Anolis sagrei: one gene and its partners. The protein of the gene in region 1 interacts with the protein of each later gene in a pairwise test. Links are inferred from orthologs where the notes say so. Each region holds a gene or a part of one and is shown on either strand. Other genes may lie near its edges. The genes, in order: TRAF3IP1, SPTBN1, SMC2 and SFR1.

Region 1 (7,614 bases):
AACCCCACACTGTCACGGTTCCCCACCCTCAGGAGGACACACTCGAACCCAGGTGCTTGCGGTACAGCGCAAACTACATTTCCCGAACTACAGTGCTTAGCATCTGAAGGACCCAATGGCACTAGCCATTGAAATGTTTCTTTGATTTTAAATGTAATGTATTGTATATGTATATTGTAAACCACTCCGATCCTTCAGGGGGTGGCGGTATATAAAATTGATAAATAAATAAATAAATCATCATCATCATTTAATTACTTATTAATCGCCCTCCATCCGAGAATGCTCCAAGTGATTTACAGTTAAATTGTAAAAGATAAAATACATACATACAAAAATTAAAATTAACAGAGATCGAATGCTCTAGTAAAAAGCCAGGTCTTAAGTGCGAGAGTAAAAGGCCCTAAGTCACGCATGGCTCTCATGTAGGGCGGCAAGGAATTCCATAAGTCCGGGGCAGAAATAGAAAAAGCCCTGCGCCTGGTCCTTTCCAAATGCACTTCTCTAGGACCCGGTATATAGAGTAAGTCACGTTGGGCTGGTCGTTGCGACCTCCAATGATGGGAGAAGGAGAGGTGGTCCCTAAGGTACGATGGAACCTGGCCATAAAAGATTTTAAAGGTCAGAACTAACATCTTATACAGGCCACGGTACTCAGTTGGAAGCCAATGTAAGTGTTGCAGCACTGGTGTTATATGGCATTTCATGGGCTTTCTTGTGAGTAACCTGGCTGCCGTGTTCTGAACGATACGAAGCTTTCGGGTCGTAGACATCGGAAGGCCAACATACAGGGCGTTGAATAGTCCAGCCTAGACGTGACCGGCATGGATGCCAGAGCCTCGTCAGATAGGTAGGGTGCCAATTGCCTCGCTTGTCGTAGATGGAAAAAGGCCTGTTTGCTGGCAGCAGCAACCTGTGCTTCCATTGTCAGCTGCGAATCCAAAACGACACCCAAGCTCTTAACGGTAGGCGAAGGAGATAGGGCGGCACCATCGAAGGTGGGCAACGGAGGAGTCAGACCTGCCGGGCGGCCATGCCAGAGAATCTCAGTCTTTGCTGGGTTCACCTTCAGTCTGCTAGCACGCAGCCAGTTCGACAGAGCTTCCAGACATAGGGTGAAATTGTCTGGAATTGACGTTGCTCCAGGCTCCAGGCGCAGAAGGAGTTGGATATCGTCTGCATATTGGTAGCAGTCCAGGCCGAAACTCCGAGCCAAACTAGCAAGGGGTCTAACGTAGATGTTGAAGAGGAGAGAGAATAAAATTATTGAATCTGAAAAGAGGACTAAAGTAAGTAATAGTATAAAGCTGTGCTAAGTTGAAGTTCTCAGGTTGTGTGTCATAAAGGCAGACATTCAAAGGGATTGCTGCTGTCACTTCTTGGGGGGATCATTTGTTTTTGTCTAAACTTTTAAAAATCCCCCAAAATCTGTAGATGTGTTAATCTTTCTGAAATTTCTGAGGATCAATGCCTTGGTTATCTTGTGCATTGTATATGAAATTCCAGGAGATAGCTCTTGTAGTTTTTATAAAAGAAAAATTGTTTGTAAAAAGTTCAAAATTTCCCCCAAAATTAGTGAATGAGTGTAATGTTCTTAAACTTGGCAGGCTAACAGTGGAAACTGTGATACAATTAGAGCAAGTTTTATCATGATAGCATTAAAAAAGTTAGTGCAATTAAATCCTTCATCATTTCCGGATCCTCCTCCCGATGTTTTACATTGTCCTATGTCCCAGTGTTTTAAAATGTTATCCTTGAATTTGGCCCTGCCCAGTGAAATCTGTTGTGTTTTAATGTTTGATTTTATATTGTTGTGTCGCTTATTATATTGGTTTTGCATTTTATGTATTTTATTTTTTGGTTTTGTTATGTTTTTGTGTTATATTGTGTGTACTGTACTGATGGGCGTGGCCTCGTGTAAGCCGAACTGAGTCCCCCTGGGGAGGATGGAGCGGGGTATATATAAAGTTTTTATTATGATGATGATGATTATTATTATTATTGAGGAATCTATTCGAAACTAGGGAAGGGGGTTTATATATCTGTGGTTTAGTGTCCAGGGTGGGAGAAAGAACTCTTGTCTTTTTGAGGCAGGTGTGAATGTTGCAATTAGCCACCTTGATTAGCATTTAATGACCCTTTGCAACATTCACACTTGCCTCCAACAGGCAAGTGTTCTTTCTCCCACCCTGGACATTATTTCACAGATAAATAAACATCACTTTCCTAGTTTCCAACAGACCCCACAACCTCTGAGGATGCCTGCCATAGATGTAGACGAAACGTTGGGAGAGAATGCTTCTGGAACATGGCCATACAGACGGGAAAACTCACAGCAAGGCAGTGATTCCAAACATGAAAGCCTTCGACACCATAATTGAAGGCCTATTTGCAATGGCAACCCTCAAGCAACCAGAAGTAAAGACTTCCTGTATATATTTCAGATTTCAATATTGCATTGTCGAAGGCTTTCATGACTTCTCCGAGTAGTCTGATATGGTGGTTGTTAGAGTTAGACTACTCAGAGAAGCCACTGAAATCCACAAGCATGTGGACAATTTCAACAGAAAGGAGGAAAACCATGAAAATGAACAAAATCTGGCTACCAGTATTAAAAAAAACTCTAGAATTACAACAGCAAAACAACACAAGGGAAACTATTTATTGATTTATTTCGTGCATTCCTACCCCGCCCTTCTCAACCCCCGAGGGGGGACTCAGGGCGGCTTACAAAAGGCACAATTCGATGCCAACACAAACAATAAGATAAAACATATATAAACAGCAATTTAAAACAAAACAATCAAACAATTATAACATCAAAATCAATAAAACCAATCTAATGCTCAACGTTCGCCAGCTCAGAGTCCGTAGATTCATTCCACATTGTCAAATCCTATCAATTCTAGTCGTCGATTGTCCTTTGTTTATCTGCCAGATTACCCAAAAGCCTGGTCCCATATCCATGTTTTTAATTTCCTTCTAAAAGAGAGGAGGGATGTTGATGACCTAATTTCCCTGGGGAGTGAATTCCACAGGTGAGGGGCCACCACCGAGAAGGTCCTGCTCCTCGTCCCCACCAACCTCACTTGTGATAGAGGTGGGGCCGAGAGCAGGGCCTCCCCAGAAGATCTTAAACTCCGAGGCGGGACGTAGAGGGAGATATGTTCAGACAGATACGCTGGGCCGGAACCATATAGGGTTTTGTAGGTCTAGACCAGCACTTTGAATTGTGCTCGGAACTGGATTGGCAGCCAGTGGAGCTGACATAACAGAGGGGCGGTATGCTCCCTGTATGACACTCTGGTGAGTAATCTGGCTGCCGCCCGCTGGACTAATTGAAGTTTCCGAACAGTCTTCAAAGGCAACCCCACGTAGAGTGCGTTGCAGTAATCTATGCGGGATGTAACAAGAGCGTAGACCACCATGGCCAGATCAGACTTCCCAAGGTATGGGTGCAACTGGGACATCTAATCACCTCTCAACAATCTGGAACATCTAATCACCTCTCAACAAAAGATTGCCCCAGGCACTGCCAGGCCATCAAATGCTAATCAAGGTGATCAGTTGGAACATTCACACCTAGTTCCAACAGACAAGAGTCCTTTGCCCCACCCTTTTCCTAGTTCCCACAGACCTCACTACCTCTGAAGCTGCTTGCCCTAGATGCAGGCGAAAAGTCAGGAGAGAATGCCTCTAGAAGAACATGGCCATATAGCCCGAAAAAATCTACAACTCATTCACACTTGCCTGCAACAGACAAGTGTTCTTTCTCCCACCCTGGACATTATTGCACAGATAAATAAACTTCGCTTTCCTAGTTTCCAACAGACCCACAACCTCTGAGGATGCCTGCCATAGATGTAGGTGAAACGTCAGGAGAGAATGCTTCTGGGAAAACTCACAGCAAGGCAGCCATGAAAGCCTTCGAAACCACAATCGAAGGCCTGTTTGTAATGGCAACCCTCCAGCAACTAGAAGTCTATATTTCAGATTTCAATATTAATGTCAAAAATACGTGGTATGATTTTACATAGGATTTGTTCTACATTAAAACAGTAAAGACAAATATCACTTAAGCAAAAGAAACATTAAATAACCAGAAAAATAAAACTCCGTGTACCCTGCTGCACCTGGCAGTCCCCGTGGGCGCCGGTCAAGGGAGACTCTCCAAAAGCGATGGCCCTGTTGACAGAGGCCTAGAGAATGCGAGAGGGCGGAGCCGTCCATGACGTCACCATTTCCCTCCCCCTGCGTCCAATCGGGAGGGCGAGGAGGCGGGGCGGACCGCGCGCCGCCCGGTTGCTAGGCTGGCGGAGTTGGGTAGCAACGGCGGCGGAGGAAGGAAGGCAGGCGGGCGGGCGCGGGGCGCGCCGGGAGTTTGCGAGGGGCCTGGTCCGGTCCGGGCAGTCGGGGCGCCGCCATGCAGGGCTCCATGGTGCGGCGGACGCAGGAGCTGCTGGGTCGAGTGATACGGAAGCCGCCCCTCACGGAGCGCCTCCTCAGCAAGCCCCCCTTCCGCTACCTGCACGACGTGATCGGGGAGGTCAGGCCCGAGGAGGGAGGGAGGGAGGGAGGGAGGGAGGGAAGGGGCGCGAGGGGAGGGGGGCTGCGCGCGTGCCCCGTTGCTAGGCGACCAGAGGGAGGCCTTGGCCCTCACAGAATGCAGGCGTTGGGACTGCAAGCCAGGAAGAGGAGTGCCCACAGTCTCCATGCAGTGGAGCAGTGGAGATGGTTATGAAAACGCTCTTGGGTCGTCACTAGTGTAGAAATAGATAAGAGTTTGTTGTTCACAATCACTGTTCATGATTGGGCCAGGGCCTCATAAACCTTCTCCACTCATGACCCCTTTTTGTCCAAGACAGGTTTCTGTGACCCCTTTTAATTATTGACCCGTTTTAATTACAGATTGTCTAACTATGTATTTTAGCAATGGTTGTTTATTTGCTGTCGGGTTCTATTATTATTTGATACTTCACTTCACTTTATTTCTTAATTAGTCGCTCTCCACCAAGGTGCTCCGAGCAACTTACAATCTAAAATAGCAGTTACACAATATAAAAACATTCAACATAACAACATTCAACAGTGACTATTTGGCAAATTAGATCTGATTACTGAAATGCACACTTACTTACTTACTTAGGCGATCCCTCATTGGACGAGTAAGATGGTCTTCCTTGATGACTATTTTTATGGGTTTGTAGGTGGCTGTGGAGCCCTATTCTTGACCTGCATTTTCTCCCACAGTGAAGGCATTGGTTTCCAGGTGGAAGGTGGTCCCGGTCATGGTTGGCTTGACGTGCCTTCCTCCTGGCACATTTCTCTCTTTCACCCTCCACTTGTGCTTCCTCGAATTCTGCAGCACTGCTGGTCACAGCTGACCTCCAGCTGGAGCGGTCAAGGGCCAGGGCTTCCCAGTTCTCAGTGTCTATGCCAGAGATTTTAAGGTTGGCTTTGAGGCCATCTTTAAATCTCTTTTCCTGACCACCAACATTCCGTTTTCTGTTCTTAAGTTCAGAGTAGAGCAACTGCTTTGGGAGACGGTGGTCAGGCATCCGGACAACGTGGCCGGTCCAGCGGAGTTGATGGCAGAGGACCATCGCTTCAATGCTGGTGGTCTTTGCTTCTTCCAGCATGCTGACGTTTGTCCGCTTGTCTTCCCAAGATATTTGCAGGATTTTCCGGAGGCAGCGCTGAAGGAATCGTTCCAGGAGTTGCATGTGACGTCTGTAGACAGTCCACGTTTCGCAGGCATAGAGCTGGGCTGAGAGGACAATAGCTTTATAGACAAGCACCTTGGTATCCCTACGGATGTCCCAGTCCTCAAACACTCTGCTTCATTTGGGAAAATGCTGCACTCGCAGAGCTCAGGCGGTGTTGTATTTCGGTGTCGATGTTGACTTTGGTGGAGAGGTGGCTGCCAAGGTAGCGGAAATGGTCAACATTTTCTAATGCTACACCATTAAGTTGTATCTCTGGCGTTGGCACAACCAAACAGCCAAGTCTTGAGTGCCTTTACAAAAGGTCGCAACTCTGACATTGCTCTAATGTATGGAGACAATGAGTTCCACAGAATTGGAGTATAGGTTGAAAAAGCTCAATGCCTTGTAGCTTCCAGGTGTACCTCCCTAGGGCCCGGTATGTATAGGCAGGGGTGGCTCAACCCATTACGCAAAGTAAGCATTTGCAGTATAGTTGATTTTGCCCAGGGGCGCTCTTGAGGCGCTCTTGGGGGAAAATAGACCATGACATATGCGAGTTGTAGTTACTGGGAGGTATAGTTCACCTACAATCAAAGAGCATTCTGAACTCCACCAATGATGGAATTGAACCAAATATGGCACACAGAACTCTCATGACGAACAGACAATATATATCAGTGATGGGTTGGGGGGGGGGGCAAAGTACTGTTTGCTTACGGTTGAAAATTACCTAGGGCCGCCTCTGTGTATAGGAGATTTTTCTGGGTGGATCGAGGTGACCACTGATGGAGAAAAGGATTGAGGCGGTCCCTAAGATATAAAGGTCCTTGGCCATTTTGAGCTCTAAATGTCAGGATCGGTATCTTGTAAGAGATCCGATGTTCTATTGGTAGCCAATGCAGTTGTTGCAGAATCGGTGTAATATGGGAACTTATAGATGATCCCGCTAGCAGCCTGGCCGCTGCATTTTGGACCATCCAAATCTTCCGGGTTGTTGACTTTGGAAGGCTGGCATATAAGGCGTTGCAATAGTCCAACCTCGTGGTGACTGTTGCGTGGATTACCGTTGCCAATGCTTCTACCAAAAGGTAGGATGCCAATTTCCTTGCCTGGCGAAGATGAAAAAAGGCCTGCTTACTTATGGCAGTGATCTGGGCCTCCATCGTCAGCGATGAGTCCAACACAACCCCAAGGCTTTAAACAGTGGCAGACGGAACCAGAGCTTCCCCATCGAAACCAGGCAGAGACTGGATTAATTCTGGCGGCTGGCCGGGCCAGAGTATCTCAGTTTTTGCAGGATTCACTTTTAGTCTGCTCGCTCGCAGCCAACTCATCACTGCTTCCAAACACAGCCTAAAGTTCTCAGGAATCGCGGTTGTCCCAGGTTCGAGACGCAAGAGTAGCTGGGTATTGTCTGCATACTGGTAGCACCCTGCCATACGTTGCTGTGGCCCAGTCTGGTGATCTGGAAAATAAAGTAATTCGAAAGTGTTGGTTTCTAATATATGTAATTTCTTTATACTTGTGGGTAAACACTATTTCTTGCTGTTTCTTTGTCAGTGTTAATGTGATGGTTATCTGGTTTGCCTACATGTGACATATCATTGTCCTTCTCTAGGGGTCCCTTTCAAATCTATGATACTATATCTGTGTGTGAGAGAGAGAATCATATCTATCTATCTATCTCTATGGCTGGATGGCTCTTTGTCAGGAGGGCTTTGATTACGTTTTCTTGTCTTGGTGAAGGGAGTTCGACTGGATGGCCTTAAGTATTTTCTGTTGGTCATGGGGGTTCTGTGTGGGAAGTTTGCCCCGATTCTGTCGTTCATGGGGTTCAGAATGCTCTTTGATTGTAGGTGAACTATAAATCCCAGTAACTACAACTCCCAGATGTCAAGGTCTATTTCCC
Region 2 (8,292 bases), about 140 Mb from region 1:
TAATAATAGTTTAATTATTAATTTAATTATTAACATATAATATTTATTAAAAGCACAGATGATGATGATACTAATATTATTGTAAATAATAATAGTTTAATCTAATTATTAATTTAATTATTAAACAATAACATCTATTAAAAGCACAGATGATGAGTGTGATATTAATATTATTGTAAATAATAATGATTCAATCCAATTATTAATTATTAAATAATATCTATTAAAAGCACAGATGATGAAGATGATACTAATATTATTGTAAATAATAATAGTTTAGTCTAATTGCTAATTTATTTATTAAATGATAATAACTATTAAAGGCACAGATGACAGATACTAATGTTATTGTAAATAATAATATTATAATATTATATTATGATTTAATAATTAAAATAATAATTTAAAAATAATAATTGTAAATAATATTATTATTATTATTTACAATTATTATTTTAAAATTATTATTTTAATTATTAAATGATAATATCTATTAAAAGTCACAGATGAGGAGGAGGATTCTATTATTATAAATAATAATTTGATTTAATTATTATTAAATAATAGTGTCTATTAAAAGCACAGATGAGGAGGATGAGGATGACAATTCACTTTCATCTCTTGATTGAGAAGCAAAGCCGCTATTGTTGTTCTCAGGGGATGAGGGGGGGGGGGGGATAACACCCAGGCACAGGACTGCAAAGCCTAATCTCTCTTCCCTCCCTCCCTTCCCTCTCCCTCCCTCTCCCAAGTGCATCCATTTGCACAAACCTGTTGATGTCGGAAAAGAGGGGAGCGAGGAGAACTGGGGAGAGGGAGAGCAACCTGGACCCGACTCTCCTCCAAAAGCAACTGGGTGCAAAAGGAGGGAGGAAGGGGGGGAGCCAAAAAGGGTGGGGAGAGAGAGAGGCATGGGAGGAGAGCAGCGACCACGCCTGGTTGGGCTTTGAGGAGAGCCTAACCCCTTGTGGGGCTGCTTATGGGGTGGCACTCTGCATCAGGGGGCTCCCCAAAGCCGGGCCTCCATCACCTCTTTTATTTCCCCATCCTTCCATCCCTCCTTCCATCCTCATCCAAGCCAGCACCCTTCCAGGTTCAGGTTCAATGCTTCCTGGTGTGTGAGTGCCTGTCAATGGGATTCCTTCATCCTTTCCCTGGTCAGGGGACCACTTCTTCATCCTGTGAGGAGGAGGAGGCGGGTAATCCAATCCCAATAACAATGTCTTGTGGAAGGCTTTCATGGCCGGAATCACTGGGTTGCTCGCTGTGAGTTTTCTGGGCTGTATGGCCATATTCCAGAAGCATTGTCTTCTGATGTTTCACCTGCCTCAGAGGTTGTGGGGTCTGCTGGAAACTAGGAAAATGGGGTTTATATATCTGTGGAATAATGTCCAGGGTGGGAGAAAGGACTCTTGTCTGTTTGAGGCAAGTGTGAATGTTGCAATTGGCCATACACAGATATATCAACCTCACTTGCCAAGTTTCCAACAGACCTCACCACCTCTGAAGGTGCCTGCCATAGTTGTGGGAGAAATGTCAGGAGAGAATGCTTCTGGAACATTGGCCATACAGCCTGGAAAACTCACAGCAACCCATTATTGTTACTGTTGGTTTGCTGTGAGTTTTCCAGGCTGTATGGCCATCATGTTCCAGAAGCATTCTCTCCTGCCCACATCTGTGGCAGGCATTCTCAGAGTTGGTGAGGTCTCAGATCCTCTCACAACCTCTGAGGGCGCCTCGCCTAGATGTGGGAGAAACATCAGGAGAGAATGCTTCTGGAACATGGTCAACAGCCTGGAATACTCACACTGAACCCCGGAATCTGGCCATGAAAGCCTTCAACAACACATAATATAGGAGCCCCACGGTGGTACAACGGGTGCTGGCAGGACTGAAGACCGACAGGTCAGAGGTTCGAATCTGGGGAGAGTGTGTATGAGCTCTTTCTGTCAGCTCCAGCTCCCCATGCGGGGACATGAGTGCAGATGAGCTCCCTCTGTCAGCTCCAGCTCCCCATGCAGGGACATGAGTGCGAATGAGCTCCCTCTGTCAGCTCCAGCTCCCCATGCGGGGACATGAGTGCAGATGAGTGTCAGCTCCAGCTCCCCATGCGGGGACATGAATGCGGATGAGCTCCCTCTGTCAGCTCCAGCTCCCCATGTGGGGACATGAGTGCAGATGAGTGTCAGCTCCAGCTCCCCATGCGGGGACATGAGTGCGGATGAGCTCCCTCAATCAGCTCCAGCTCCCCATGCGGGGACATGAGTGCGGATGAGCTGGCTCTGTCAGCTCCAGCTCCCCATGCGAGGACATGAGTGTGGATGAGCTCCCTCTGTTGGCTCCAGCTCCCCATGTGGGGACATGAGTCTCCCCATGCGGGGACATGAGTGTGGATGATCTCCCTCTGTTATCTCAAGCTCCCCATGCAGGGACATGAGTGTGGATGAGCTCCCTTAGTCACCTCCATCTCCCAATGCGGGGACATGAGTGTGGATGAGTTCCCTCTGTCAGCTCCACCTCCCTGTGCGGGGCCATGAGAAAAGCCTCCCACAAGGATGGTAAAACCGCAAAACATCCCCTGGCCAACGTCCTTGCAGATGGCCAATTCTCTCTATACCAGGAGTGATTTGCAGTTTCTCAAGACAAACACACGCACACACATAATACCAATCATAAGAAGAGAGTGGGATTGGGTTTGGAGGGGCGAGGTCTGCCTAGCAGTTGTTGTTGTCTTGCCACTCTCTGCATGGACTAGCCTGCATGCCAATGGCAAGGAGACAAAACAGCAGAGAGAGAATTGGGATTGCAGAGTGTCTCCTCCTCCTTCCTCCTTCCTCAAGGAGAGAGTGACAGGTCCCTCCAGGAGGGTCACCCTCTCCTGGGGTGCCAAGGCAGGGCCACTCCACCTCCTCCTCCTCCTCCTGCAGCCTTTCCCCTTCCTTGCCCTACCACCCCGGCTCAGGCTCCGCGGCTTACCTCTCTCTCGGTGGCGTCGATGATTCAGGAGGCTCTCTCTCTCTCTCTCTCTCTCTCTCTCCCTGGCCTTCGAGCTGCCTTTCCTCGGCCGTGGGAGGAAGGCAGGAGCCGGCCAAGGGACCGAGGGGGGTCCGCCAAAGAGAGAGGAGAGGAAGAAGAGGAGGAAAAGGAGGAGGGGGAAAAAGGACAGCAGCGGCGAGCAGAGAGGGATGGCAATGCGGAGGGAGGGGGCACCAAGCGGAGGAAGGGCGGGAGGGAGGGAGGGAGGATGGATGGAGGGGAAAAGGGAGGGACTCCAGGAATCCGCAGCACAAGCAAGCAGCTCCGCCAGAGCCCGGCCTATCTGCCCGCCTCCTTCCCTGCCTCCCTCCGATGCCCACCAGCACAGCAACAGCTGCACTGGTTGGAGCGAGCGGCCAAATGGGCAATAGAGAGAGAAAGAGAGAGAGAGAGAGAGAAAAGGGGCGGGAAGTGCAAGAGAAGAGCCACGGCGCGCGCTCACAAAAAATAAATAATAATATAAAGGCAGGCGGGCAGGCAAGCGAGCGCGCGCACGTCGGTCGCTGAGGAAGGCGCGCGCGCGCGCGCACACACACACAAGGCTCCTGAAGGGAAAAGGGAAGGGAAGGGAAGGAGCTGAAGCTGAATCTCCTCCTCCTCTTCTTCTCCTTCTCTTCTTCTCCTCCTCCACCTCCTCCTCCTCCTCTTCTTCTTCTCCTCCTTCTTTTTCTTCTTCTCCTTCTCCTCTTCTTTTTCTTCTCCTCCTCCTCTTCTCTTCTTCTTCTCCTCCTCTTCTCCTCCTCCTCCTCTAGTCCTCCTCTTCTTTTTCTTCTTCTCCTTCTCCTCTTCTCCTTCTCCTCCTCTTCTTCTCCTTCTCTCCCCCTCCTCCTCCTCAACCTCCTCCTATACTTCTTCTCCTCTTCTCCTTCTCCTCTTCCTCTTCTTCTCCTTCTCTTCTTCTTTTTCTTCTCCTCCTCTTCTCCTTCTCTTCTTTTTCTCCTCCTCCTCCTCCTCTTCTCCTCCTCCTCTTCTTCTGCTCCTCCTCCTCTTCTTCTCCTTCTCCTCCTCCTCCTCTCCTCCTCCTCCTCTCCTCCTCCTCAACCTCCTCCTCCTCTTCTTCTTCTCCTCCTCAACCTCCTCCTCCTCTTCTTCTTCTCCTCCTCCTCCTCTCCTCTTTCTCCTCCTCCTCCTTTTCTTCTCCTTCCCCTCCACCTCCTCCTCTTCTTCTTCTCCTCCTCCTCTTCCTCCTCTTCTCCTCCTCCTCCTCCTCCTCCTCTTCTTCTCCTCCTCCTCAACCTCCTCCTCTTCTTCTTCTCCTCCTCAACCTCCTCCTCTTCTTCTTCTTCTCCTCCTCCTCTCCTCCTTCTTCTCCTCCTCCTTTTCTTTTCCTTCCCCTCCACCTCCTCCTCTTCTTCTTCTTCTCCTCCTCTTCCTCCTCTCCTCCTCTTCTCCTCCTCCTCCTCAACCTCCTCCTCCTCTTCTTCTCCTCCTCCTCAACCTCCTCCTCCTCTTCTTCTTCTCCTCCTCCTCCTCAACCTCCTCCTCCTCCTCTTCTTCTTCTTCTCCTCCTCAACCTCCTCCTCTTCTTCTTCTCCTCCTCTTCCTCCTCTCCTCCCCCTCACCTCCTCTTCCTCTTCTCCTCCTCCTCCTCTTCTTTTTCTTCTCCTCCTCCTCTTCTCCTCCTCCTCTTCTCCTTCTCCTTCAATATTCTATTTATTTACTTACTATATTTGTATACTTCCTCTCTCAGCCTTCCGGCGACTTTGAGGACCCCTGGTCTAGGTCCAGGGAAGTAATGCTACCCCTCTATTCTGCTTTGGTTAGACCACACCTGGAATATAATAATAATAATAATAATAATAATAATATTGTGTCCAATTCTGGGCACCACAATTCAAGAGAGATATTGACAAGCTGGAATGTGTCCAGAGGAGGGCAACTAAAATGATCAAGGGTCTGGAGAACAAGCCCTATGAGGAGCGGCTTAAAGAGCTGGGCATGTTTAGCCTGCAGAAGAGAAGGCTGAGAGGAGACATGATAGTCCATGTGAGAGGAAGCCACAGGGAGGAGGGAGCAAGCTTCCTTTCTGCTTCCATGGAGACTAGGACACGGAACAATGGCTTCAAACTACAAGAAAGGAGATTCCATCTGAACATGAGGAAGGACTTCCTGATTGTGAGAGCCGTTCAGCAGTGGAACTCTCTGCCCCAGAGTGTGGTGGAGGCTCCTTCTTTGGAGGCTTTTAAACAGAGGCTGGATGGCCATCTGTCAGGGGTGCTTTGAATGCAATATTTATTTATTTATTTATTTACAGTTCTTATATTCCGCCCTTCTCACCCCGCAGGGGACTCAGGGCGGATTACAGTAAATACATATATGGCAAACATTCAATGCCAGTTTGACAGACAACAAATACAGACAAATACACCAAGGCTATTTAACTTTTTTCTGGCCGCCAGGGGAACTGCTGCTTTTCATCGTCCATCAACGACACCGATGAAGTTCTTCCGCATTCCACATTCCCCGGAGTTTTCTTTATGGCCTCATAAATTAGTTAAATTTAGCCTCCCACACAAGGTGGTGCCTTATTTTCCTACTTGACAGATGCAACTGTCTTTCGGGTTGCAAAGGTCGACAACGGGCTACACAATGGCTGGACACCCACTCCAGCCCGGGCTGGCCTCGAACTCATGACCTTTGGTCAGAGTGATCTTAATGCAGCTGACACTCAGCCAGCTGAGCCACAATCCCGGTGTTCCTGCTTCTTGGCAGGGGGTTGGACTGGATGGCCCATGAGGTCCATTCCAACTCTATGATTCTATGATAGGCAACACAACAATCTATTCAAAAGCATTAAAAGAAATTGCACTGGAACATCAGCATCCACACTGAATCAAAACTGAGTATCCCCTGAATTCCTTAAAATGTTGAAAATGTGAAAGAGTTGTGTGTGTTTCAATGTTTCTATTGTGCTTTTTGATGTCAGTACTCCAAAATATATTAAAATACAATAAAATATTTCATTGGAGCCCCTTGTGGCGCAGTGAGTTAAACTGCTGAGCTGCTGAACTTGCTGACCGAAAGGTCGCCGGTTCAAATCTGGTGAGCGGGGTGAGCTCCTGCTATTAGCTCCTGCTTCTGCCATCCAAACAGTTCGAAAATTGCAAATGTGAGAAGATCAATAGGTACCTCTTCTGCAGGAAGGTAACGGCACTCCATGTAGTCATGCGGGCCACATGACCTTGGAGGTGTCTACGGACAATGCCAGCTCTTTGGCTTAGAAATGGAGGTGAGCACCAACCCCCAGAGTTGGACACAATTGGACTTAATGTCAAGGGGAAACATTTACCTGTACCTTACATTTTGCTTATATGTCTACGAGTGGTTGTTACTGCTATTTTACAGGTAACCAGGTTTTACCAATGTTTCTTTTACTGTCAATGATTTGACTTCTCTCCAGGGAAGTATTGGATAAAGTGACATGTTTCAAGCAGTCATTTTTCGAATTTCTTCCACTGTGATCCTGCCCATGGCAATTACCTCCAGATATTTTGTCAGTTCATTTGGAACTGCTCTCAGAGCACCTGTCACTACTAGAACTGCAGTTATTTCCTTTTCCCAGAGGTGTTGAATCTCATTTCTAATTCTCAATATTTCCTAATATTTATTTATTTATTTATTTGATGCACTTATTAACCGCCATTCTCAGCCCGTTAGGCTAATACAGCTGACTCTTCCTATCCACTGATTCTGTACACATGGATTCAACCAACCACAGCTTGAAAATATTCCCAATATAGTTCCAAAGAGCAAGCTTTGCTTTTGCTTTTGATTCTGTTGTTTCTTGGTATTGCCACACCTACCATCTAACTTTCATTTTCTTAATCACAGTCGTCATTATCTGGATATTATTATTGCAGATTGAGTATTCCTTACACGAAATGCTTGGAGTATTTGCATTTATTATTGTTGTTGTTGTTGCCCAAAATCTTGAGTTCTTCCCTGTCGGAACCCAGATGCCTTAAAGAGCCAGACTCAAGAGTATGTCCAAAAGTAGAGTTTATTAACACAAAGCAAAAGGGACTCAGAGACACTTAATTCAGTGTCCCTGATCAAAACTCAAAAGTAGTAACCAGTTCCAGTTCAAAAAGTAAACTGAAGCAATAATCCGGATTATCTGGAGAAAAGATCCGGATTAAACTAAAGCGCTTCAAAAGTCACACAAAATAACACAGCAAGTAAAGGGTGAACAAACAAAGAGTTGCAAAGAAGGAGACATAGTCAAACGAAGTCCGAGGTCAAAGTAAGCCAAGTCCGAAGTTGCGAGGTTCCAAAGTCCACGTAGGCAGCGTTGTAGTCGAAACCAGTCTGAAGTCAAAGAAGGGGAAATCTGCACTCACGAGAATCTAAGCCGAGTTGAAACACACACGAACGGAAGCAGCAACCTGCAGATCCAGGGCCCAAACCTAACACAAAAATGGCAGCGACAAAACCCAAGGTACGAAACCAACACTTCGCCTTCTGCAGATTCCCCATTTCAAAGCCTACTTTTATCTTACAGCTCATCATCCGATGATGATCTGACCCCGTCATCATCTCTTACAGCTGTCCTTGACTTCACACGTGAACTCTGTCGCCCATCCCTCCCAACTCCTCCATCTTCTGTCAAGATGTATTAATATTCTTATTCTATCTTTTTAATAATTTTGTGCATGTACCAAAGTTTGTTTGCATTAAACCACCAAAAAGCAAAGCTCTGTCCATATCATTTTGGAAAATGGAAATCCGCATAACCTTTTAGTTATTTTATGATGTTTGGAAAGGTATGACCTTGTTAGAAGTCAGAAGAGAAACAGAATAGAGACCCAGGTACAAATATGTAGCTGGATTAACTTATATAGTATATATAACTATCTTGCAGCATCTTTGAAATTGAAAGTAAGAAGTGTGTATCATAAACTCTGTTTTATCCAATCTGTTTTATCAGATGCAGATGTTAGATAAGGGTAGCAATACAGATTAATAATATAATCAAGGTACAAAAAGGCACAAAACATTCTTAAAACTTGAAAAAAAAAACCTCATGTGGGTGTTCGAATCCTATCAGTGTGGGTTCAGATGGAAAACACACACCAACTTTTCTCTACAACACTGCCAGAGGTCTTTTTTTCTTAAAAGAGGAATATCTGTTTTACAAGAAACAGATTAAAATATTTTGCTGAAGATATAAAGAACCCCGAGTGGCACAAGCATGAGCAACCTCCACGCTTAAAATAGAATTGATGTTGGAGTTTGCCTATTTCCAAAACTTCTCTC
Region 3 (7,700 bases), on another chromosome or scaffold:
GCAATATGGATGACGAACTGGATCACGTTTTTAGTTAAGAGTCGAACTGGATTGGTATTGATGTATGAATTGTGTTTTTATGTTTTTTATGTTTTTTATGCTTTTAACTGTATATTGTTGATTGTTATATTATGTTGTAAACCGCGTTGAGTCGCCGGCTAGGCTGAGAAACGGCAGTATATAAATATAGCAAATAAAAATAAATAAATAAATAGGAGAAGGGTGAAGAAGTGGGAGATATATAAAATATATACTTACCTGTGATAAATTGGTGATGCCCAATAAAAAACAGATGGAGTCCAGGATATTCGACTTGCCACTTCCATTTAAACCAGTAATGGCATTGAACAATGGGTCAAAGTCATTAACCTCTGTTCTTTGAGCATAAGACTTGAATCCCTCAAGGACAATTGATTTGATGTACATTTCAACTGGTCTTCTTGTAAATTCCAAGCAGATCTATGTATGGAAAAAAGTATGGGCACTCTGCATTTTTATGGTTTTAAAAAAGTCATGCTTCAAAAAATTGCAGTGTACACATTCAAGCAAAGGGCAGATGCAGCAAATACTGTGATCAATAATTTGAGAGTAAGCATTACTGAACTCACTGGACCCTCTTTTACAAGAAATCATGTACAGCAAAAGTTCTACATGTCAAGTCAAGCAAAGGGGGATACAAATAAACCACCGAGTTCTGTTAAAAGACTGTCACTTCTGTACTGGGCTATGAATATTTATGGTATGAAGCCCAAGTTCAGTTCAAGATGCTGGCAGTCACCTTAGAAGCTTTAATTAAGACTTTAGCTTAAACCCCGCCACCATCTCCCATAAGGACTCAAAGCAGCTCACAAAATAGCACCCACTGGTGCCATACCAAACATAAAATGCAATACATCAACATTAAGATCGATAAAACATTTTCATAAACATATACATATACAATTAACACAAGCAAATAAAATCAGTAATAGCTGTTGATTAAATTGTCCATACAATCAGTTTAGGATCCAAGCTGTAAACCAATCAAATGTGGATATAAAATGCTAGAATACTTGGGTATCAGTCTGGCTACTATCAAAATGTTGTTGAAGGCCTGCTGAAAAAAACAAGTTTTAACTTTTTCCTAGCCTTGTAACCTGTGATCACACTCAGTATTGTGTACTAGTAGTGTATTTTATATATTGTAGTATACTAATAATATAATTGTATGCAACGTGTTACATATATTACTAGTATAATTGCAGCGTAGTGTATTATTATTTTAGATATAGATGTGGATTTGTTTTTGGGATTGGGGGTTGGTTATTTTTGTCTTTGTTAAGATTCTCAAGGAACTGAATGTCTGCTGATATCTGTTGTAAACTGCCCTGTGTTCCTTCTGAGAAATAGGGTGGGGTATCAATAAAGTTCTTCTATTATTATTATTATTACTATAAACACAACAAGATTAGTACACAGCAAAGAAAATCACTATGCTTGCTGTTCTACTGGATCACACGCTGGACACTTCCCAAGTGTCAAGGACTGTGTGATGTATTGGCGAATAATGTGTGCAGATCCAAGTAGGGTGGCCTTTTGCAGCTGACAGATGGTAATTTTGTCAGCATCGATTGTGTTTAAGTACAGGCGAAGGTCTTTAGGCACTGCACCCAGTGTGCCGATCACCACTGGGACCACCTTTACTGGCTTGTGCCAGAGTTAGTATTATTATTAGTGTCCAACCACAAGTAGCAGGACTAAAAACATAGTAATTTCATGATCAAAAACCATGTTTAGAAAGGATGGTTTGCAAAAATGCCTCAGAGAACTGCAGCTGAATGGGATCCCTATATAAATTGTGAGAGGCAGGTTTTTCAAAAGCAATTGCACTGAGAGTTTAAGGTGGGGACAACGTTTGGATACATTTTAATATATTTAATAACAAAAAGGGTTTATTTTTTACAGAATATATATATGCCCTCACTGCGGGAGACGATGCAGATCAAGAATAGGGCTCGATAGTCACCTACGGACTCACCCTGGAGGATTATCCTACTCGAACAACGAGGGATCAGCTAAGTAAATATATATATATGTATATATATATATGTATGAAGGCATTTACATTGTTTTTAATTAGTACTGCTTTGTATTTTTAGCCACCTGTAGTCCTTATATGGGGGGAGAAAAACGAATTTAAAAAAATAAGCAAACACTACCCATAATGTGATGAGTGTGTGCAGGATGCAAGCGTGAATGAAGCAGAAGAATGTCAACATTTGGGTGGTGGGCGCAGAAAGTGCACTCCAAATAGAATCATAGAGTTGGAAGAGACTTCATGGGCCTTGCAGTTCAATCCTCTGCCAAGAAGCAGGAAAATCGCATTCAAAGCACCCCTGACAGATGGCCATCCAGCCTGTTTAAAAGCTACGACAGAAGGAGCCTCTACCACACTCCAGGGCAGAGAGTTCCACTGCTGAACAGCTCTCACAGTCAGGAAGTACTTCCTAATTTTCAGATGGAATCTCCTTTCTTGTAGTTTGAAGCCACTGTTCCGCATCCTAGTCTCCAGGGCAGCAGAAAACAAGCTTGCTCCCTCCTCCCTATGACTTCCTCTCAAATACTTATACATGGCCCTCATCATGTCTCCTCTCCGCCTTCTCTTCTGAAGGCTAAACATGCCCAGCTCCTTAAGCCGCTCCTCATAGGGCTTGTTCTCCAGACCCTTGATCATTTGAGTCGCCCTCCTCTGGACACATTCCAGCTTGTCAATATCTCTCTTCAATTGTGGTGCCCAGAATTGGACACAATGCCTCTCTTGTATCTCTTTTTGTTTCTGTTCCTTACAGCGAGCAAGCCATGGGAGACTGAGGCCAAGAGCTTTCGGGCTTATATGTTTGAACAGTGAGCTGTACACATACCCCACTATCCTGCCTAGCATTGAATAGAAGGTCTGCTTCTCACCTCTCTCCCGCCCTGCTTCTTCTACGCCTTCTTCCTCAACTTGAATTTTGGCGCGGGCGAAAGAGGACCCCTTCCTCTCTGTCGCTCAAACGCTCCCGACATAGCTGCCTATCGTGCCGCCTGATTTTATTTCCCCCTTCTCTCCAGGCGTTCTCGAGGCCGTACTAACGTCACCGAAAGCCTCTCGCCCCGCCCCTTTCTTGGGTTGTGAATCAGAGAGGAAAGAAAGGCTTGGAGCGCGAGGGCCGAACCGTTGGCTGACGTCACGGCTTCAGCGTTTGCTATAAAAGCGGGTGCACGGCGTGGCGGCGCCCATTTTGTGCGGAGGGAAGGGAGCGGGAGGGAGGTTGGTGGTGGAGGTTAGCTGCTGTGGAGGCATTTTTTTCACAGGCTAGCTACCATACAGGCGTTCTTTATCTAGGCTAGCTGTCATAGAGGCATTATTTATAAGGCTAGCTACCAAATAGGCGTTGTTTATCTGGGATAACTACTATATAGGCCAGTGTTTCTCAACCTGGGGGTCGAGGGGTTGTGAGGGGGGTATCAGAGGGGTCGCTGAAGACCATAAAAACGCAGTTTTCTTTTTTTATTGAAATATTGTTATTGTTATAATTTATAGAAATAGAAAGTTCCAAAAGAAAGCAATAGAGGGAAGAAAGAAAACCAAGAATACATCGAAAGTGTGAGAACAATTTAGTTTTAGGAAAGCAGGAAAAGAAGATTGTCTAACGGAGTTCAGAATTATTATTATTAAACTTTATTTGTACCCCGCTAGCATCTCCCAAAGGACTCGATGCGGCTTACAAAAGCCAAGGCCTCAACACACAATACAACAATACAAACCTAAGGCAAATTAAAAACAGTTAAGCAAACTAAACAACAAGTAATAAACAATGGACTAAGACGCAATAAAACTGGGCCGGGCCAGAGTAATGGGTACAAGAGTTAAAAAGTGCTGGTGTGATTGTAGGTTAACTATTACAAGTCCCAGCAACTACAGCTCACAAATGACAAAATCAACCCTGGGTTTGTTGTAGGTTTTTTCAGGCTATATGGCCATGGTCTAGATCAGGGGTGCTCAAACTAAGGCCCGAGGGCCAAATGCGGCCCTCCAAGGTCATTTACCTGGCCCTTGCTTAGTCTGTAATGACTTGAAAGCACACAACAACAATCCTATCTCATCAGCCAAAAGCAGGCCCACACTTCCCATTGAAATACTAATAAATTTATATTTTTAAAATTGTTCTTCATTTTAATTATTGTAGTGTTTTAAAGTGTTTTTGCACTACAAATAAGATATGTGCAGTGTTCATAGGAATTCATTCATGGTTTTTTTTTCTTCCACATTATAATCTGGCCCTCCAACACTTTGAAGGGACTGTGACCAGGCCCTCTGTTTAAAAAGTTTGAGGACCCGTGGTCTAGAGGCATTCTCAGAGGTAGTGAGGTCTGTTCAACCCTCCCAACCCCACTAGTATTCAAATTTGGGCACGTCAGGTATTTGTGCCAAATTTGGTCCAGTGAATGATAATACATCCTGCATATCCGATATTTACATGACCATTAAGAACAGTAGCAAAATTACAGTTATGAAGTAACAATGAAAATAATTTTATGGTTGGTGGTCACCACAACATGAGAGGGACTGTATTAAGGGATCATGGCATTAGGAAGGTTGAGAAACACTGATCCTAAAGGAAATAAAAGCTTGCATTGTTTGGAAACCTAAAAAAATACTCATTTTATCAGTGCAAATTAGTTAATTGGTGGTGTGTCTGAGATGTCTATCTGCAAACCAGTATTTCCAAGAGAACACTGAAAAAAAAAGTCTCAGTGAATTAGGAAGGTTGTGCAACACTGATATAGGCGCTATTTATAGAGGCAAGCTACTATATAGGCATTGTTTATATAGGTGCTTTGGTCATTTTCCATACTATTAATTTATATATTCTATAAACAATTTATGTAGTGATTTCAGATAACAGCTGCACCACTTTTTATCCTGGGTGTGAAATGCCATGTACTCCAGTAGAAAGAAAATGGAGTAGGAGCTGCCATTGCGTCAGAAACTAACGAAATGGCTTTTATCTCAAGATGTTTATCTCAATTTTAGCTTTTTGTGTCAATTTTGCATGTAGCTGTTTGTGGGGTTCCCCCCCCCCCTCCTTTAGATGTAAAAAAGGTCTATTTTACTGGCTTATTCCCAATTTCTTCTGAGAACAATAACCAGATCTTGGGGAGCTGTTTTATTTATAAGAGTACAAATAAAGTGAAAATTAAATTGAAGTAAGGAGAGTTTGGAAGTTAAGTAATAAATCTGGAAATTAGATGGCAATCACGGAGGAAAAATGAATCCAGTTACAAAATCTTTTACTACATCTTTAATTTCTGGGGTGTATTCAGATTTAGGTACTTGCAGCCAAAGTGATGGAGGCAAAAAACTTCATCTTGATAACCAGTTTTTATTTGGGATATGGTGTAGGTTGTGATATGGAGAACAAATTTGGAAGAATAAGCTGAAAAAGATATAAGGCTTCTGGATCTTATTCAGAGTATTCTGCAGGAATAATCATTAAGAAATAACTCAACATACAGGCAGTATCTGAGTTACATCCAACTCATAGTTAAGAACAAGGGCATGATAACAGGAAGTGAGAGAAATCAACTCCTTGGAAGGGAACATTCACTTCTGAAAGGGGAAAAGGGGGTCTCCACAGAAGCTTTTTCTCTGATCCTTATTCCCACAAGAAGCCACATTTTTCAAAATAAATTATCACAGGGAGTGAAAGTGACGTCAAATCTGAACAGGGGCACAGATAGCAAAACAAACACTGCAGTTAGTTACACTTTAAAATGTGTACCTGTTCTGGCTTAAATATGAATTAAACTTAAGAACAAATCTACAGAATCTATTGATATTGTACTAGGCTAATGATATAATGTACTGTATGTATATATGTCTTGTAAAGCCGCTCTTAAGTCCCCTTTGAGGCGAGAAGGACGGCATATAAATGTTGTAAATAAACAATAAATCTTACCTTCCTAACTTGAGAGTTGCCTGTAGAGATTTTTATCACTTTGTGTAAGGGTGATGTTACTATGTCCTTGTTGGACTTGTGGATACCAAAATCTGTGGGTGCTCGAGGAATCCTTAGGGCCCTTCCAAACACCCATATAACCTAGAATATCAAGCCAAAAAATCCCACTATATGCTGTGAAGAAATTGACACAGTTTGTGAGAATTGTTCTTCAAAACTTAGAAAAGTGCATTAGATAGCTATAATTTGTTTTACTTAATGGTTTCCAAAGCTATGCCATGATATACTAGTTTGGATGTATACTTGGTATTGTAGGTTACAACATTACAACAAACTCACAATCACAGAAACAAACAGCATGCGCAGAGCCGTCCCGGCGTGAGCTGCCCGGCGCGTGCACATGGCTGAACCACGCCCCTCCCTTCGCCGCCCCTACCCACCCATACCCCATCCTTCCCTCCTCCCCCTCCTCCGCCCATGCCCCCTCCGACACAACCACCCTCCCGCAACCACCCTCCGCCACCCACCCCCCGAGAAAGGCACGCTCCCACCCTCCACCGCCCCTACCCGCCCATACGCCATCCTCCTCCTCCTCCCCTGCCCACGCCCCCTCCGACACAACCACTCCCCCACCCTCCGCCGCCCCTACCCGCCCATATGCCATCCTTCCCTCCTCCGCCGCCAATGCCCCCTCCCTTCGCCGCCCCGCCCCTTCCCGCACTGACGCAATCCTTCCCTCCTGCCCCTCCTCCTCCACCGGTCACGCCCCTTCCCAGGAAACTACGCCCCTCCAATCCCCGTCCCTTCCCGCCCTGACCCAATCCATCCCTCCTCCCCATCCCCCTCCACCGCCGCCATCTTCTCCAAGGGGAACGCTTCTGACATTCCTTTGGGGCCTCTCTTCCAGTCAGCCACGGGCCTCCCCCACACAATTCATCACAGCCGGTAAAAAATTATAGTATAACTAACACAATCTACTGAAATGATTTATACTCTTCTGAAGTGGAAGTGATGACTCGTTGGGGGTTTTCGGCCTCTAAACTGTGAGGAATACCCGGCACGGCCATCTTACATAATGGTGATACACCAACAATGGCACCTTCTGCATTGAATGCAGCAATGAGGAGGGACAGTAGCACAGGAATACATACATACATACATAGAAACAAACACATTCAAAGTAAACAGGACAAATATGCCACAGCAACGTGTGGCCGGGTACAGCTAGTTCTGTTCCAATTTCTTTAGCATATTTCAGTATACCTGGGATTTTCTGTTCTCTAAGGATCCTATTGGGAGCTTGTCTATTTTATTTAGTGGAAGTTTATCTTACCATTCCCCCCAACATGCCATTGTTCATGTCAAAGGGCCTCATTTTATATTTTTAGGTCTTTCCCCCCAATTTCCCCTATAAGACATGGTCAATATTCCCATCCTTTCATTAGTTTGTCTAATCCGACCCATCTTTTGGGCTTTCTAATGTTGAATTCAAGTAACCTGGTCATAGGGCAGGCTTCAAAGTAGTCCTGGAGGCAAGGTGCCTCGTAGCCTCCATTTTCTTTTGGAGTAAAAAATACTGAGTTTGCATTTCCAGTTTTACTGGAACCTTCTACTCAAGTTTTCGTTGAATTATCCAATTTCTTTATTATTTTAGGTGGGATGCTAAAAGGGAGGCTTTGAAATAAGTATAAAAATTAGGAATTACCATTTTATATTCCT
Region 4 (7,648 bases), on another chromosome or scaffold:
TTGCATGCTACTTTTCAAACAACTGCTTCCATCAGGAACTTTTCCCAAGTCTTCATCTTTGCTTTGTGATCTACAATATGTTTCTCCTTTAGACAAAGACTCTTCTTTACAAGTACTGCAGTTGTTTTCTTCATCTATTTTTAGACGCTTTGGTACAATTAAAGATGAATGAAATGACCGCCTCGCTTTCTTCAAACGTTCTCTAAGGGTTGAACTCATTGGCTAGAGTGAATGTAACCAGGTAGCATTAAGAAGGAAAAGAACATGTAAAAAAGGGGATCAGCAACAATCAGGCAAAGTAAACCAGGACATATCTACACTGACACTACAGGGTTAGTCAAAATGCATAGGCCAATAAGCCATTCAATTGAATGGCTTATTGGCCTATGCATTTTGACTAACCCTGTATAATGTAGCTTGGAACTAGTTTCACTGTGCAAAGGATTTGAAAACAAACCAGTGATGACATTGAAAATGGTACACAGTCTCAAACCACTATGCAGGTATCTCCTGTAATACATGTTGCAGAGCGCAATAGCAATTTACATGTTGTGGCTTCAAGTCATCTTGAAGCTGCGTTATACAATGTTACTGACAGCCTGGGAGCTGGAGATGAGGAGCACTTCATTGCCACTGAAGCCAGGACAGGACTGTGAGCACAGGAGCGCTAGCAGCCACAACAGCATCAAGGGATGCGTGGGGGGGGGGGGGGGGTTATCATTTTTGCTTATTTGCAAATAAGTTCCACTGTGCCTTCCCAGAATAAGGAAACTCCCAACAATATGTCCCTAAATGCACTTTAGTAGTGATCTAGGATTGTCTGCACGCTCTATCCCTCTCCAAAATTTTTATCTTGTTTATTGTCACCTTGTCACGGCCAGCATTATTTTTTAAATTTTTAATTAGTACATTTGACCCTGCCATAGGTTTTTAAACGTCGTTGTGTTATTGTTAATATTTATTGCTATTTTCTGTTTATGAGTTTTATTTATTGTTTTTATTACTGTTGCTATTGTTCCAATGTTGTATTGTGGGCTTGGCCTCATGTAAGCCGCACCGAGTCCCTTGGGGAGATGGTAACAGGGTACAAATAAAGTATTATTATTATTATTATTATTATTAAACCACCCCTCTCCCTGCTCTGAGCAACCCAACAGGGAGGGCACAGTGTGGAGACTGTGGTACAGGCGACCGTTCTTGGGAGTGACACGATGTGTTCAGCACAGGCTGTCACAGTGGCCATCCTTTTGGTGTCACCTCCACCACAGGCCTCTACACTGCCCTAGTGACAACACTGCACCTAGGCAGTCAAACAGTTCAAAAACAATGCTGCGATTAACCAGAATATAAATCAAACCAGGTTTTTGATTTGGGGTTGTTGTTTTTTTTGTCAATTTGCGGGGACATAACTCAAGTATATATAGGAACTAAATAAATTGCAAGTGGAGTGAAGGAATCCCTTAGCAAATTAATTATAATTGTTACTTTCAATACTGGAGAAACCAATTAGTTACACATAGATCTGTTATAGGCATATGTACTATACTGTGGAGTTATGTTTGTCAGTATAGCCAAGGTTTGCACAATTCTACATAAAATCAGGCTTCACAACAATTTGGAAATACAGTAGATTCAGTTAACCAGAACTCTTGAAGCAACTGGCAAAAAACCCACAGAGAAATAATATTTTAAATTTAAAAGGCTTTTATAATGCAGCAAAACTGTAAAACTATTACATTAAATGGTTTGCCTTTATTTGCTTTTAATTATATATTTTAATATTAATATCAAGCCAATAGTGTTTATGGTACAGAAAGAAGTCGAATATTCTTAATAGAAACTCCCAAAAAACCAAAAACTACCTTTATCCAGCATCTCTCAATCCCCATGAGTGCCGGTTAACTGAATCTCCTGTGCTAACAAGAGAACTGGAAATATTAGGCAACATACCTGTTTCTCTGAGGAGCTGCTGCTTTTCAGACCACTACTTTCTGGAGTGGAGCATAGTGATGTAGGTTCATTTAACACAGTTGTTTCCATTGTGAGAACTGACTAATGGTTTGCTGTGAGTTGACTAATGTACTGGAGAGAGAGAAAAAATCAAGGTTTACATGTGGGCATGTTTTAAAGCCATGGATGGTTGAATCTCTGGGCACAGAAACCATGAATATCGACCAATGAGCATAATAATGGTGATGAAAAAGCCAAAACCAAGGTTACCACATCTGTTACTAGAACTCCAGTATGCTGATGACAATGTCGTCTGTGCGCATTCAGAAGATCTACAAGCCACTCTAAACACCTTTGCAGAAGCATACGAGAAGCTCGGCCTGTCACTGAACATTGAGAAAACCAAAGTGCTGTTCCGCAATCACCGTCCAATCCCTCTCCAATGCCAGAGATACAGCTTAATGGTGTAACATTAGAAAATGTTGACCATTTCCGCTACCTTGGCAGCCACCTCTCCACCAAAGTCAACATCGACGCCGAAATACAACACCGCCTGAGCTCTGTGGGTGCAGCATTTTTCCGAATGAATCAGAGAGTGTTTGAGGACCGGGACATCTGTAGGGATACCAAGGTGTGTGTTTATAAAAGCTATTGTTCTCCCAACACTGCTATACACCTGCGAAACGTGGACTGTCTACAGACGTCACATGCAACTCCTGGAACGATTCCATCAGCGCTGCCTCCGGAAAATTCTGCAAATTTCTTGGGAAGACAAGCGGACAAACGTCAGAATGCTGGAAGAAGCAAAGACCACCAGTATTGAAGCGATGGTCCTCCGCCATCAGCTCCGGTGGACCAGCCACGTTGTCCGGATGCCTGACCACCGCCTCCCAAAGCAGTTGCTCTACTCCGAACTCAAGAACGGAAAACTGAATGTTGGTGGACAGGAAAAGAGATTTAAAGATGGGCTCAAAGCCAACCTTAAAAACTCTGGCATAGACACTGAGAATTGGGAAGCCCTGGCCCTTGACCGCTCCAGCTGGAGGTCAGCTGTGACCAGCAGTGCTGCAGAATTTGAAGAGGCACGAATAGAGATTCTATAGCATTGAGCCGTGGCAGTTTGAAGTGGTAACAAACTGCATTAATTCTACAGTGTTGATCAGACCTGGCCAAGCTTCGGCCCTTCAGGTGTTTTGGACTTCAACTCCCACAATTCCTAACAGCCTACCGGCTGTTAGGAATTGTGGGAGTTGAAGTCCAAAACACCTGAAGGGCCGAAGCTTGGCCAGGCGTGATGTAGATGCACCCCAAGGCCTTCTGTCGTACTACAATGTCCATTAGCCGTGAACCAAAGGGTCCCTCGTTCCTTTCCTCCGTCTCTTCTTATTACCTCAGAAGCCAAATCTCTCCCAAACTCCCGCCGCCGGGGAAGCCGACCGAAATCTCTTCTCGCGATCTTTCAACGCGGATCGGTGTGCGCCTGCGCAGTGCGATCTGAAAAGGGCGGGGGAGGGAAAGGAGGCTGGAAGAAGAGATGTCTATACTGTAAGGCAGGCCTGGGCGAACTTGGGCCCTCCCTCCAGGTGTTCTGGACTTCAACTCCCACAATTCCTAGCAGCCTCAGGCCCCTTTCCTCCCCCCCCCCCCCAGCCGCTTTTCTATCTATCTATCTACCTATCTATCTAAATATATCAGGTATGGGCAAACTTTTTGGCCAACATAAACTTTTGCCATACAGGAAAAGCGTAATCAAAACTCCCCCAACAGATGGCCACCCAGTCTCAATAATAATAATATTAATGATGATGATAATAATAATAATAGAAGCAACCCCAGGGGCCATCTAGTCCAACCCTCTTCTGCCATGCAGGGAAAGCACAATCAAAGCACCCTCAACAGATGGCCACCCAGCCTTCTCAATATTATTATTATTGTTATTAATAATAATAATAATAATAATAATAATAGAAGCAACCGCAGGGGCCATCTAGTTCAACCCCCTTCTGCCATAGAAGAAAAGCACAATCAAAGCACACACACACACACACACCCCATAGCTGGCCACCCAGCCTTTGTAATCATAATTATCATCATTGTAATAATAGTACACCCACATAATAATAATAATAATAATAATAATAATAATAATAATAATAATAGAAGCAATCCCAGGGCATTGTAGTCCAAGCCCCTTCTGCCATGCAGGGAAATCACAATCAAAGCACCCCCAACAGATAGCCACCCAGCCTTTATGATAACAACAACAACAACAACAACAATAGAAGCAACCCCAGGGGCCATCTAGTACAACCCCCTTCTGCCATGGAAGAAAAGCACAATCAAAGCACCCCCCCCCCCCCAATAGATGGCCACCCAGTCTTTGTAATCATAATTATCATCATTGTAATAATAGTACATCCACTCAATAATAATAATAATAATAATAATAATAGAAGCAACCCCAGGGCAATCTAGTCTAAGCCCCTTCTGCCATGCAGGGAAATCACAATCAAAGCACCCCCAACAGATGGCCACCCAGCCTCAATAATAATAATAATAATAATAATAATAATAGAAGCAACCCCAGGGGCCATCTAGTTCAACCTCCTTCTGCCGTGCAGGAAAAGCACAATCAAAGCACCCCCCAATAGATGTCCACCCAGCCTTTGTTATCATAATTATCATCATTGTAATAAGAGTACACCCAGACTCAATGATAATAATAATAATAATAATGATAATAATAGAAGCAATCCCGGGGCCATATAGTCCAACCCCCTTCTGCCATGCAGGAAAGCACAATCAAAGCACCCCCAACAGATGGCCACCCAACCTCAATAATAATAATAATAATAATAATAATAATAGAAGCAGCCCCAGGAGACCATCTAGTTCAATCCCTTTCTGCCATGGAAGAAAAGCACAAAGCACCCCCAACAGATGGCTACTAGGCCTGGGTAACAACGGAAAAATTTGTTTCTAAAATCGATTTGTATTTGGGGGCTTTTTTGTTTCGATATTTAAAATAATTACAAAATTTTCCTTTTAAAAAGTTTGATATTTACGAAATTTCGTAAATGTGAAAAAAATTACAAAACATTAACGAATCGATTTCCGAATCAATAACGAATCGATTCGTTAATGGCGGACGCGACCGCGAAATACGCTAAAAAACCTCCAAAAACTTCTGAAGCTTCCCTCTCCCTCTGTTGTTGACTGTTGGTGTGATATTATAATTTTTTTTCACTAATTAAACAAAAAACTTGCCCCAGACATGCGGAAATAATAACGAAACGACCTCAGAACAATAACGAAACGAACACAATAACAAAATACGAAGCATTTACAAAACGTGTTTAAAAATTCGTTTTTTTAAAAAATTGCTCCAGAATGGTTCGTTATCGTTTTGTAATTGGAAAAATTAACGAATTATTAACGAATTATGAATTAACGAAACGAAACCGCCCAGCCCTAATGGCTACTCAACCTCAATAATAATAATAATAATAATAATAATAATAATAATAATAGGGGTCATTCAGTCTAACCTCCTGCCATGCAGGAAACGCACAATCAAATAATTCCCCGAGGGATGGTCATTCAGGCTTTGTAACAACAATAACAGCAGCAGAAACCCAAGGGGCCATTGCAGAGTCCCTCGGCATGCTTCATGGAGCCCCAAGGAGCATGCTTTAAGAACCACTGAATTAAAGGTACATAAACAGCAAGGCTGTAGGTTTCCCTTTGTATCAGGGCTTTGTGATTCTTCTGCAGAAGGTGGCACAAAGGAGTCTTTGCAGCTTTCATTGATGATAGGCTTCAGTGCAAAAGTCTTTATAAAAAAAATGGCAGGAGGATGAGGATTTTGCAACTTAGAAGAAATCATAAAGATATACAACAACCTATAAAGATATATTCAAGGTGGAATAACAGATATGACTAGAATAAGTTCTTCAATGTGACAAGTTAACATTCCTACTCACTGTAAACCTTTCCTGGTTGCTTTAGCAAAAAACACAGATTCTTTGCAGGGTTGGGGTTCCTGAGGCCTTATAGGTGTCGGAGTGCAAGTCCCATCATCCCTGAATGCTTGGAAATTATGGCACCTGAGTCCAACAACAACTTTCCCATGTTTCACATAAACTGCTTTTCAGCCATTCAGAGCTAATCAAGATGGCCAATTGCTACATTCAAACCTACCTGAAACAGACAAGAGTTCTTTCTCCCACCCTGGACATTCCACAGATATATAAACCCCACTTGCCTATTTTCCAACAGACCTCACAACCTCTGAGGATGCCTGCCATAGATGTGGGTGAAACATCAGGAGAGAATGCTTCTGGAACATGGACATACAGCCTGGAAAACCTACAACACCCCAATGATTTCGGCCATGAAAGCCTACAACAATACATTCCCCATGTTTAGTTTATAAATATGACCAATACAGCCTGGACATTTCACCTCTGACATGTTTGAACATTTGTCTTTTTAATCTATTTAAAGAGCCAAACGTAAGTACTAGATGGAAGCTATTGTATATGATGCTTCTTCTTCATCATATGTAGCTACTTAATAAAGCCAGCCCTACTGTTAAGCAAAGTAAGGCTGCTACTTCATTTAGCAAAGATAACGTACAATAAGAACTGAATAAGCATAGCACCATCCATCCTCCCCCCCCCCCTGTAAGAATATTGTGCCAGCACTTCTCAAGGGAGATAGAATCTATTCTGTCATCCCCAAGGCTGCTCTAAGGGTGCATCTACACTCCAGAATTAATGCACTTTGACACCACTTAAACTGTCATACCTCCATGCAATGGAATCATGGGAGGTGTCTTTTGATGAATTAATAGCACTCTTTGGCAAAGAAGAATAAAGAACACTTTATATCATTTGCCATATATTAACCAAAAAAGGAAACAGAAATTGAGAGAAATGGCAACGTTCCCAGCATTGTTGACATTACCGACTGTGGAGACAGAAGACTGATGCAGTAAAAATAGCCATTATTTATGCTTCCAACTTTTCAGGGATCTGCCAGCAGAAGTTACAAGTACAAGCCAAAGTACTTTTAAAACGTATGTTCTGGTACGAGCATTTGGATGAGTTTGTTTGTACTTTGTTGGGGAATGAAAGAGTTAACAACTACCATGTCAGGCTACACAGAGAAGCCATTGAAATCCACAAACATGTGGACAATATCAACAGAAAGGAAGAAACCATGAAAATGAACAAAATCTGGCTACTAGTATTAAAAAACACTAAAATTGTAACAGTAAATAAAAAACAACACTCAGAGGAACTCCAGACAAGAAACAATCAGGGACAGCTAATAACCCCTAAACAAAGGATTCCCCCAGGCAGTAATACACCTAGAAAACTGTCAGGCCATCAAATGCTAATCAAGGTGGCCAATTAAAACATTCCCATCTAGCTCCAACAGACAAGAGTTCTTTCTCCCACCCGGGACTTTCCACAGATATATAAACCCAATTTTTCTAGTTTTCAACAGACCTCACAACCTCTGAGGGTGCCTGCCATAGATGCTGGTGAAACATCAGGAGATAATACTTCTAGAACATGGCCATACAGCCCGAAAAACCTATAACAACTCAATGAAAGAGTTAATCTTCCCCCACACACTTTCTATACACAGCTGCTATTTCAAAAGGAAAAAAATGCAAAGGCAAATGTAC

The links.
Region 2: the proteins of TRAF3IP1 (region 1) and SPTBN1 interact in a two-hybrid assay, tested with the Homo sapiens proteins (2 studies listed by BioGRID and IntAct). The link is inferred for Anolis sagrei from reciprocal best matches to the Homo sapiens genes TRAF3IP1 and SPTBN1.
Region 3: the proteins of TRAF3IP1 (region 1) and SMC2 interact in a two-hybrid assay, tested with the Homo sapiens proteins (2 studies listed by BioGRID and IntAct). The link is inferred for Anolis sagrei from reciprocal best matches to the Homo sapiens genes TRAF3IP1 and SMC2.
Region 4: the proteins of TRAF3IP1 (region 1) and SFR1 interact in a two-hybrid assay, tested with the Homo sapiens proteins (2 studies listed by BioGRID and IntAct). The link is inferred for Anolis sagrei from reciprocal best matches to the Homo sapiens genes TRAF3IP1 and SFR1.

The regions. Positions count from the first base shown.
Region 1 is NC_090021.1:161,923,229-161,930,842, forward strand, and holds the start of TRAF3IP1 (TRAF3-interacting protein 1), read left to right. Parts: upstream 1-4,320; 5' UTR 4,321-4,423; coding exon 4,424-4,546; intron 4,547-5,738; exon of another isoform or gene 5,739-5,814; coding exon of another isoform or gene 5,815-5,928; intron 5,929-7,614.
Region 2 is NC_090021.1:17,026,625-17,034,916, forward strand, and holds the start of SPTBN1 (spectrin beta chain, non-erythrocytic 1), read right to left. Parts: upstream 3,373-8,292; 5' UTR 2,977-3,372; intron 874-2,976; exon of another isoform or gene 772-873; intron 1-771. UniProt on the Homo sapiens protein: Fodrin, which seems to be involved in secretion, interacts with calmodulin in a calcium-dependent manner and is thus candidate for the calcium-dependent movement of the cytoskeleton at the membrane.
Region 3 is NC_090022.1:206,332,940-206,340,639, reverse strand, and holds the start of SMC2 (structural maintenance of chromosomes protein 2), read right to left. Parts: upstream 3,078-7,700; 5' UTR 2,944-3,077; intron 460-2,943; 5' UTR 427-459; coding exon 259-426; intron 1-258. UniProt on the Homo sapiens protein: Central component of the condensin complex, a complex required for conversion of interphase chromatin into mitotic-like condense chromosomes.
Region 4 is NC_090023.1:213,234,774-213,242,421, forward strand, and holds the start of SFR1 (swi5-dependent recombination DNA repair protein 1 homolog), read right to left. Parts: upstream 3,443-7,648; 5' UTR 3,341-3,442; intron 3,133-3,340; exon of another isoform or gene 2,931-3,132; intron 2,878-2,930; exon of another isoform or gene 2,627-2,877; intron 2,083-2,626; 5' UTR 2,041-2,082; coding exon 1,951-2,040; intron 223-1,950; coding exon 1-222. UniProt on the Homo sapiens protein: Component of the SWI5-SFR1 complex, a complex required for double-strand break repair via homologous recombination. Acts as a transcriptional modulator for ESR1.